Linked DNA regions of Cricetulus griseus. The protein of the gene in region 2 binds, or shares a complex with, the protein of the main gene of each other region. Links are inferred from orthologs where the notes say so. Each region holds a gene or a part of one and is shown on either strand. Other genes may lie near its edges. The genes, in order: Cplane2 and Fuz.

Evidence for each region.
Region 1: the proteins of Fuz (region 2) and Cplane2 are in contact, whole or in part, in a cryo-EM structure (PDB 7Q3E), measured with the Mus musculus proteins. The link is inferred for Cricetulus griseus from reciprocal best matches to the Homo sapiens genes FUZ and CPLANE2. Residues at the interface, in NP_081652.2 of Mus musculus: Arg26, Arg35, Ile109, Val110, Lys126, Glu127, Arg129, Ala130, Tyr132, Cys133, Asp136, Gln215, Ala216, Ala217, Arg218, Asp219, Tyr220, Pro221, Tyr223, Pro232, Leu238, Thr239, Leu240, Leu241, Arg242, Pro255, Leu256, Gly257, Gln258, Pro261; in NP_001074643.1 of Mus musculus: Glu36, Gly38, Leu39, Leu40, Glu41, Arg42, Val83, His84, His85, Glu86, Thr88, Gly89, Ile90, Gln91, Thr92, Thr93, Val94, Lys124, Phe125, Met128, Glu134.

The regions. Positions count from the first base shown.
Region 1 is NC_048595.1:12,028,305-12,032,603, reverse strand, and holds the start of Cplane2 (ciliogenesis and planar polarity effector 2), read left to right. Parts: upstream 1-1,279; 5' UTR 1,280-1,280; coding exon 1,281-1,423; intron 1,424-1,696; coding exon 1,697-1,845; intron 1,846-4,299. UniProt on the Homo sapiens protein: Required for efficient primary cilia initiation, regulating a late step in cilia initiation. Plays a role in the final maturation of the mother centriole and ciliary vesicle that allows extension of the ciliary axoneme.
Region 2 is NC_048599.1:153,731,262-153,735,783, reverse strand, and holds the start of Fuz (protein fuzzy homolog), read right to left. Parts: upstream 3,028-4,522; 5' UTR 2,860-3,027; coding exon 2,749-2,859; intron 2,541-2,748; coding exon 2,419-2,540; intron 2,172-2,418; coding exon 2,087-2,171; intron 1,827-2,086; coding exon 1,758-1,826; intron 1,566-1,757; coding exon 1,461-1,565; intron 684-1,460; coding exon 486-683; intron 408-485; coding exon 312-407; intron 191-311; coding exon 84-190; intron 2-83; coding exon 1-1. UniProt on the Homo sapiens protein: Probable planar cell polarity effector involved in cilium biogenesis. May regulate protein and membrane transport to the cilium.

The DNA.
Region 1 (4,299 bases), on a different chromosome or scaffold from region 2:
ATTCTCAGCACTGTGGAGGCACCGGGAGCATGAGCAACGGATTCCAGCCACAGAGCCCTGTACAAATGCTTTCCTCCCGTCCTTCTGCCCCATGCAGTGTAGGCCGGTGAGGGAAGCACCCGCTCTTGCGCCCTTCTCCCTTCCCTACCCGCTTCCTGCTGCCAGCTTCACTAGCCCCTCCTAGGTGCTAGGGGTGAAGTGGTGAAAACCCAAAACCCAATCTGGCTGAATGGATACGTGTTTTTAGAGTCAGGTAACTTACCCAGGCTTCTGAGTCTGTTTTTCCACTGACTGGCTGTGAGGCGGGTGTAACCTCAGACAAGTCATGTCATCCCTCTGAGTTTCTTCATCTGTAATAGAAAAGCCATGACGCTGTTTATATGGAGACGAGTGCTGTAGACCCCAGTGCCGCAGCCCCCACAGAGCGCCCACCCCTCCTCCATTGCGCGGCAGTGGCTGGCCCCACTTGAAGACACTGTGCAGGATGCCGGTGAAGATTAAATGTAATAGCCACCTCTCAGAGGTGGCCCCACGTCCTGTCCCGCTCACAGGCATTTACTGAGCAGCCACCTTCTGGGTTGCTCACAGGCCCAGGCTGGAGCATCCAGTCCCAGGGCAGGACTGTGGCTCACCCTGGCAGGCACAGCACCAGCTAGATGCTGAGCACACAGCTGGGGGTTGGTCACTGCTGCAGAAAAGGAATGAATAAATCAATTAGTAAACAGATGACTCTCTATTCAGACCTCTTAGAAAGTTCCTTGACTTCTGCATCCAGAAGTGTTTGATGCTGGCCAGGCCTGAGCAGGATTGCTGGGGCCGTGACATTAATAACATCAACATAATAACCAAACCGGCTGAGCTGTGTTGGCCAGACACTGTTGTAAAGAATGCTATGAGGCGTGGTGGTGCACACACCTTTAATGCCAGCACTAGAGAGGCAGCCGCAGGAGGGTCTCTGTGAGTTCGAGGCCAGCCTGGTCTACATAGGATGATTCAGTCCAGCCAGGGATACATAGTGAGACCATCTCCAAAAAAAAAAAGGGGGGGGGAGCATTTAATGTTAAAGTCCACTTTGCAGAAGAGGAAACTGAGGTACAGAGAACCGAGGAAGCCTCCTTCCTGCCCCCGGGAGGGCGGGGGAGGTGATCATGTTGAGAGGAAAATCTGAGGTCAGACTGGTAAAACCGAAGGAGCTCCAGCTGAGGGAAGGAACTGCAGACCTTGCAGAACCCACAAAAGACCGGCCTGAATTCGGGAGCCCCGCCTCCCCCTGCGTCGCCATGGCAGCGCCCTGCACATGCGCCTGGCGGACCGCGCGGCTAGGCCTGGCGGACGCAGGCTCTGCGGGCAGGGCGAGACCACAGGGCGGGCTTTTAAAGGGATCCTCCCTGGTCCAGCCGGCCGGGTCGCTGGAAGTGTGGAGGTCGGTGGTCCCGGGAGTGGGAGTCTAGGAGGCAGAGGTGAAACGGGGCTGAGACTCTCGGGAGGTGCTAGGGCAGAAGAGGCTTGTGGAAATACCTTCCCAGGACAAGGATGGGCTGTTTGCGCAGAGAGCGAGCGTTGTGGAGGAGCGGGGCTATGGAAATGCACCTTTGGGTGAGGAGCCAGGCTCCAAGGGAGAGCCAGAGAGAGATTAAGAGGAACCCCCGGGCGGGCTTGGGGTAATGGTTACCCCTCTCTCCACTCCTACTCCCAGTATTCTGCCCCATCCCAACCTCACTGCGTGTTCAGCCATGGCCAGACCTCCCGTGCACGGTTCGGTGATTGTCCCAGACTGGCATGAGACGGTCGAGGGCAAGGAGTACTTAGCCTGCATCCTGCGCAAGAGTCGCCGGCGGGAGTTTGGTAAGTGCCTCCCTCACCGCGAACGCTTGACACGCCCTCCCTGGGGTGGCAGAAACAGGACAGTGGGACCTGCGCCACAGCAGTCTCTAGGGCCGCCTCACCCACATGTTCTTAGAGGACCTTTGTGAAGGGCCTGGAGCCTGGAGCATGGAAACGGCCCATCCCTGCCAACAGCAGCTGTCACCAGAGATGCTGTTGACTGGGCCCTCCTCACCTGGGGTCATGCCCTCTGCTGGGCACTTTGCACAGTGGCCTTCTGTGCAACCTGTTTTTAGACATGGTTTCACTATGTAGCCAGAACTCGTTATGTAGATCAGACTGGCCTTGAACTCAGAGAGCTCCACCTGCCTCTGTCTTCCCAGTGCTGGGATTAAAGTCAGGCTTGCAACCATTCAACCTTCTTCTCCCCTCCCTCTCTTTCTCCTTCTCCCAACCCCTTTCTGTTGTTGTTTTTGTCTTTTTCTCTATGTAGCCCCTGGCTGTCCTGAAACTCTCTGTAGACCAGGCTGGCCTCGAACTCAGAGATCTGCCTGCCTCTGCGTCTGAGTGCTGGGATTAGGCATGTGCCACCTAAGGGGCTCACTAAGGGGAGCCCCTTTAGTGTCTTCCTGCCTAGGGTAAGACATCGGTGTCCCAGGATTAAGCAGATTACCCAAGCAAGGCCCCAGTTAACAGGCCAAGAGGCATGGCGTCTGCTTTGGGTTCAGGCCAAGGCTACTGGCCTGAACAAATTCAGGGATTGCCTGGACAACACTGAAAGATTCTATCTCATGAGGGCTGGGTATCACCCTGCATGCAAGGGCTGTTCTGTCCCTGGTGCCACAAAGAACAGAATAGAGACTAGCTCGAAACTTAGGACTTCAAGTCATTAGACTACGCAATATCATCATTTTTGACTTTTTATGTGCAAGGTTTTTTTTTTGTTTGTTTGTTTGTTTGTTTTTCGAGACAGGGTTTCTCTGTGCAACTTTGGAGCCTATCCTGGCACTTGCTCTGGAGACCAGGCTGGCCTTGAACTCACAGAGAACTGCCTGCCTCTGCCTCCCGAGTGCTGGGATTAAAGGCATGTGCCACCACCGCCCGGCTATGTGCAACTTTTTAATTATTAAGTATTCTTTGTGTGTCTGTGTGTGATACTGACATGTGTATCTGTGCACACATGCATGCAGTGTCCTCAGTCAGAAGTCAGAAGAGGAGAGCAGAGAGATCCCCTGAGACTGGAACCCCTGTCTTCTGGAAGAGCAGCTGGTGCTCTTAACCACTGAGCCATCTCTCCAACCCCTCTGTGAAAGTTTTAAGAACTCATAAAGACATCAATGATTTGGTTTTATGGGATTTATTTCTAGTAGCTGTAAATACTGTTGCTTATATTTCCCTATTAAAGAAGAAACTGTAAAACACCACGTTTTGTGTATGAGGAATCCAGATTGAATAGTTAACTGTATCAATAGACAATATTTCAAAGTCTGGCAGTGGTAGAGCACGCCTTTAATCCCAGCACTCGGGAGGCAGAGGCAGGTGGATCTCTGTGAGTTCGAGGCCAGCCTGCTCTACAAAGAGAGTTCCAGGACAGGAACTCTAGCTACACAGAGAAACCCTGTGTCAAAAACAAACAAACAAAAATTCAAACATCAAGCTTAAAAGTGGCCTGGAGGAGCTGGAGAGAGAGCAGTTAAGAGCACCAGCTGCTTTTCCAAATGGCCTAGGCTGAGTTCCCAGCATCCAGTGGTAGATCACAATACCTCCTTCTGGCCTTGTAGGCACCAGGCATGCACATGGTATACATACATACATGTAGGTACTCATCAAAATAAATACAAAAGTTCAAACAAAATAACAACAAGAAGAACTTGGTGTTTGGGGGCCAGTGACATGGCTCAACTAGCACAAGCTTTACGGCCTGGATTGGATCCCCAGAAGCCTGATAAGGTGGGAGGAGAAAACCAGCTTCTCAAAGGTCCTCAGACCCTGGGAGAGATACCCGGTATCTAAAGCTAACTAGCCAGCTTGGTTCTCAGCCTTCGGCTCAGCTCTACAGAGGCCCAGAATAGACAGAGACCGGTTGCCAAGGATCTCACAGTTCATTTGCTTCACATGTGTAATGTGTCCTTCACATGTGTAATGTGACATGGACATACTCCCACATGATAATATACAGAATAATAAATGCTTAATACAAATCTCACATTGGCCATCGCTTACACATGTGAAGTTTGAGCTAGAATCGTTTGTCACTGATGATGGTAGTGACGACAATTTGTAAATAACTCACTTAAAAATAAAAAGTATAGCCTGGAGGTGGAGGTGCACACCTTTAGTCTCAACACTCAGGAGACAGAGACAGGTATACCAATGTGAGTTCTAGGACAGTCAGGGCTACAGAGTGAGTTCTAGGACATCCAGGGCTGCCTAGAGAAACCCTGTGTCCAAAAGCAAAAACAAAAACAAACAAAA
Region 2 (4,522 bases):
ACTAGGGAAAGGCACTCTCAGGCCATGGGGAGCTGACAGGGCGAATGGGCCACTCCACCCTGAGCCCCACCACGGAGACTTACCCGAGAATGTCGCTGTGTAGCGGGAAACCTTCAGGCAGTACCCTAGGGCCCAGAGGCAGACAGGCCCGGAGGGGCTCCAGCAGCGGCTGCCACCAGCGTTCCAACAACTGCAGAGGGCAGCGTGGTTCGTGTGAGGTCAGGGCCGGGGCTGGGGAGCGGAGCTTGGGTGGCTAGGAACCGCAGCAGGTGGCTGGGGACTACAGCAGGAGGGGGTGACAGCAGCCTCACCTGTGGGTCCAGCTGGCTGAGGGGCGGGCGCGGCCCGCACAGCAGACACAGCTCCAGGCCCCGCAGGAGCGTGAGGGTCAACAGCCGATGCGGGACCTGCAGCAGGGTGCAGGGGGCTAAGTAGGCCCCCGGCCCCGCCCACCAGAGGTCCCGCCCCTTCCCCCTCCCACTCACCGTGGGGCTCCCGTGAGGCAGGTACACGGGGTAGTCACGGGCAGCCTGTGGTGGCAGGGACCCCACCAGCCAGGGGAGCAGCACGGCTTCAGGCATGCCCAGGCGCCACCAGCCCTCGGTGGCTGCCACCACTCGGCCTGATACCAGCAGGCTGACGAAGGCCGTGCCAGTGGCCTCCGCGAACCCTGACAGGGTTTCCTGTGAGGGGGTCACACTAGGAGTCATAAAGCAAGGAAAGACCTCTCCACCTGGGCCTGGAGTGGAAGAGCAGCCACAGTACCAAGGGGGACACTCCAGTATTTTAGGCTACCAAGCTGCCCTGTCACACCTTCTCTGTGAACAGGAATGCTTTAACTTCCCTTTCAGGCAGCATTCTCAATTCACTGTGCATCACTTTTGATTTGTTGTTTTTTAATCTTCAGTAATGAGACTGTAACCCAAAGCTTTGGGCATGGGAGCTAAGCAGCTCTACTGCCAAGCCACATTGAATTTTGAGTCAAGTGTTGCTGAGTTGCACAGGCTGATCTTAAACTTTGTATGGTATGGCAGGATGGCAGGCCCTGTAAAGCCAATGCTTTAAACAACCGCATGTACAGTTTACTGTCTATAGAAGCTCTGGGAGAGGTCAGAACACACTGCTGGGGGCGGCGCAGAACTAGGGATTTGCCCAGATAAGGCAGAGCTCCCTTCAAGATTTGGACCTGCAAAGTGTTAGGCTGTTTGAGACCCTCGAGGAACTTAAAGCTGATTTATGGATGTCACACAGGTTGGTGAGCACCAGAGGGCACAGGCCTCACAGGCCTTGGGACACTAGGCAAAGGGGAGGGAGCTTGTCCTAGGGGAAGTGATCAGGGTGGACTCTGGTGAAGAAAGTTCTTTTCCAAAGAGTTCCAGGTACTTATTCCAGAATGGGAAGAGGATGCTGGGGTGATGTCTAGAGATGGGACACACTTATTTCTATAGCTGCCCCAATACCTGCATGAAGGACCCCTCTGGAGGAATGACACAGTCCACACACTGGGTCAGGTCTCCGATGAGCTCAGAGTTCCCCAGGAAGCTGTCGATGAGACAGTAGCTGGCCTAGCAGAGGGAAAGGGAAAAGCCTAGGTCCAGGACAGTCCAGAGAAGGCTGGGGCCAGCTCCGGGGTGGGACACCAAGTTCCCCAAGCACCTATGGGCCCATGCTGTCCCAGGGCCTACTGGTAATTATAGTTCCAGACAAACAGGCAAGCTTTAGGGAATCCTAACTGCACTCATGCACCACAGCCTCACCCTCAACTCTTTCTTCAGTCTCTCTACATTCCGGATATTGGTCAGCTCCTCAAGTCCCACAATGAGAACCTAGAAGAGTCACACAGGAAAGTGGGACCCTTAACACAGGAGAAGAGATTCTAATCAAAGATGACAGTACTTGGATGGGAGTGAGAGAGGAGGACCCCACCTGGAACCCTGTGTATGAGAGAGGCCCCTGGGTGTGTGAGAGGAGGGCTGAGGTTTGGATGCCTGAGTGTGAGGGGGAAAAAATGCAGGGGGTTAGACTGAGGGAAAGGGGCTGGGAGTGCAGAGCTCTTGAGTTTGGGAACAAGACAGCCCAGTCTCACCATGGCCCCAAACACCATGTGCAGCATTCTTTCCAGCCTCAGCTCAGAGGTGCCCTCCTCGGATGACAGAGCAATGAGGGTGATGCTGTGGGGTGAAAGGAGAGACGCAAGAATAAGATGAGCGGGGGAAACGGGGCCAAACACAGTGGTGTCTGTCAGCTATTCCAACACTGCAGGCTACATCCTGACTCGACTGGGAAAATCAGGGATCAGAGAGGGTGAGTAACTTATCCAAGATCCCACGAGCCAGTTACAGCTGACCAGACTGTGGGATCATCTAAGACAGGGACCTCTGAATAGGTTTTGTTCTATTCCTTGCTCCCGCCAGGGACCTGTCATGGAAGCTCTTCCACACCACGGTTGTGTCTTCCGTTCTTGCAGAGTTCAGTTGCACGTCCAGATTCTGCCCAAACATATGGACTCCATTGAGGGAGCCGATGACAGAAAAGGGAAGCTGAGGAGAGGGGACGCATTGTAGTAACTCCGAAGAGTAACCTCCCCACGCTGACCCTGGTGTCCCACTCTGCAGCCTCCTCCTTATTCCCCCAAAGTTCTTTAGAGCCCCCTTCTCAGCCAAAGGCCCCCAGCCTCTACTCCCTGCGAGATACACAGTCCCAGCTCCCCAAACCCCTTCTCGTTAGGTCGGGAGTCCAGCGCCCCACCTGTTGTCGGGAGGGGGCGCCGCCGCAGCTGCTCCTGCAGAACAGGGGGACCCCGCTGGAGGCAGCGAGGCACAGCAGGTGAACCGTGCTTCCTGCCCCCTCATCCCCCATCTGGAAGCCCGCAACCCAGAAAGTCACCCCCTGGGGACTTTCGGTGTGAGTCTGGGAGCATGCGGGTAGTCAAAGTCGGCCTGCTGTCCGGAGCCGCCAGAGAGGGAGAAGCAGATGGCCAAATTCCCGCCTTCCTCAACTCAACCCTGCAACCGGATTAGAATCTCTTCCGCCCCAACCGGAAGTCATCATGACCCTAATAAAGATGGCGACAAGTAGTGTTTGCCCAGCTTTCAAATTGCTACCGGATAGCTTCACATCCTTTGTATAACTAGAATGAAGATGCTAGCTTGAAGATGATGATGGTGCCAAGGTGTTGACTAGCAACCTTACTGTGTGCTATACTAATTTACATGATAGTTTTTTAAAAAGCTGATTGAAGATGACGACAGTATTGCCTGACAATAACCTTTTTTCACTCCATAGTGGTAAATACCTTGCCTGCCCCACTCAAAGATGGCGGTATACTCAGGCATTGCCTAGCAACCACTATTCAGAATAATTTCCATTCTGAAACTATTATCAGCTGTGCCACCATCCCCCTCTCACTTTTTCAGAGTGGTTTGATCCGGGCAGCGTTGCTTAGTAACCACCATATGAGGTGGTTGTTTTTGTTATTAGAAAAAGGTAAAAGAAAAGAAAACCTTTCCAAAAATCATAAAAAAAAAACCACCACATTATTTCTGTAATGAATTCATGCTTATGATGGTGTATCATGTAGAACGTCAAAGTGCTGAAAACTTCAATCCATGAAACAATAGAAGTTAGCACCAAGTACTAACTAGGACAGATGTTCACAAATATGATCATTGTACTATCATTTCCATAGTTTTCCTCATCAAGAGGATGGCTGAGGGCCAGTGAGATGGCTCAGTGTATCGGATCACACAGCTATGGAGACCTGTCTAGCGTTCAGTCCCCAGACTCTTTGTGGCAGGAGGGAACCCACTCCACAAAATCGACCTTGATATACATGCCATGGCACACTTGATATATAACAGGTGCTACTTTTTTTTTTTTTCTTTTTTGGTTTTTCAAGACAGGGTTTCTCTGTGTGGCTTTGGAGCCTATCCTGGCACTCACTCTGGAGACCAGGCTGGCCTCAAACTCACAGAGATCCACCTGCCTCTGCCTCCCAAGTGCTGGGATTAAAGGCATGCACCACCAACCCCCGGCCAGGTGCTACTTTTTTAACATTAAAAATAGTGTGTGTACAGCTTTATACCTTTATTTTCTATTTTCTGAGAGCATTTCAGGCTCTAGGTCAGGGTGGCCTGGAACTCACTACAGTTTTCCAGCCTTCTATCACAAATGTGGTTGCTGTCATTCTCTCTCTTCTTTCCTTTTTGTTTTTGTTTGTTTCTTTGTGTTAGTGTTTTTGAAACAGGGCCTCATGTAGCCCATGCATACCTGGAAATTGCTATGTAGCCAGAACTGGCCTTGGACTTCTCATCCTCTCTACAACAGAGCCTAGGCCCTCTATGTCTTTTTGTAATCCATTTTTATGAATTCAAGGAATTGAAAAACCTTCCTTTGACAAATACGAGATTTCTTCTGATGTGTTTCATAGATTGATATATATATATATATATATATATATATATATATATATATATTTGAGACAAAATCCCCCTGTGTGACAAGAGCTGGCCTTGAATCCGTG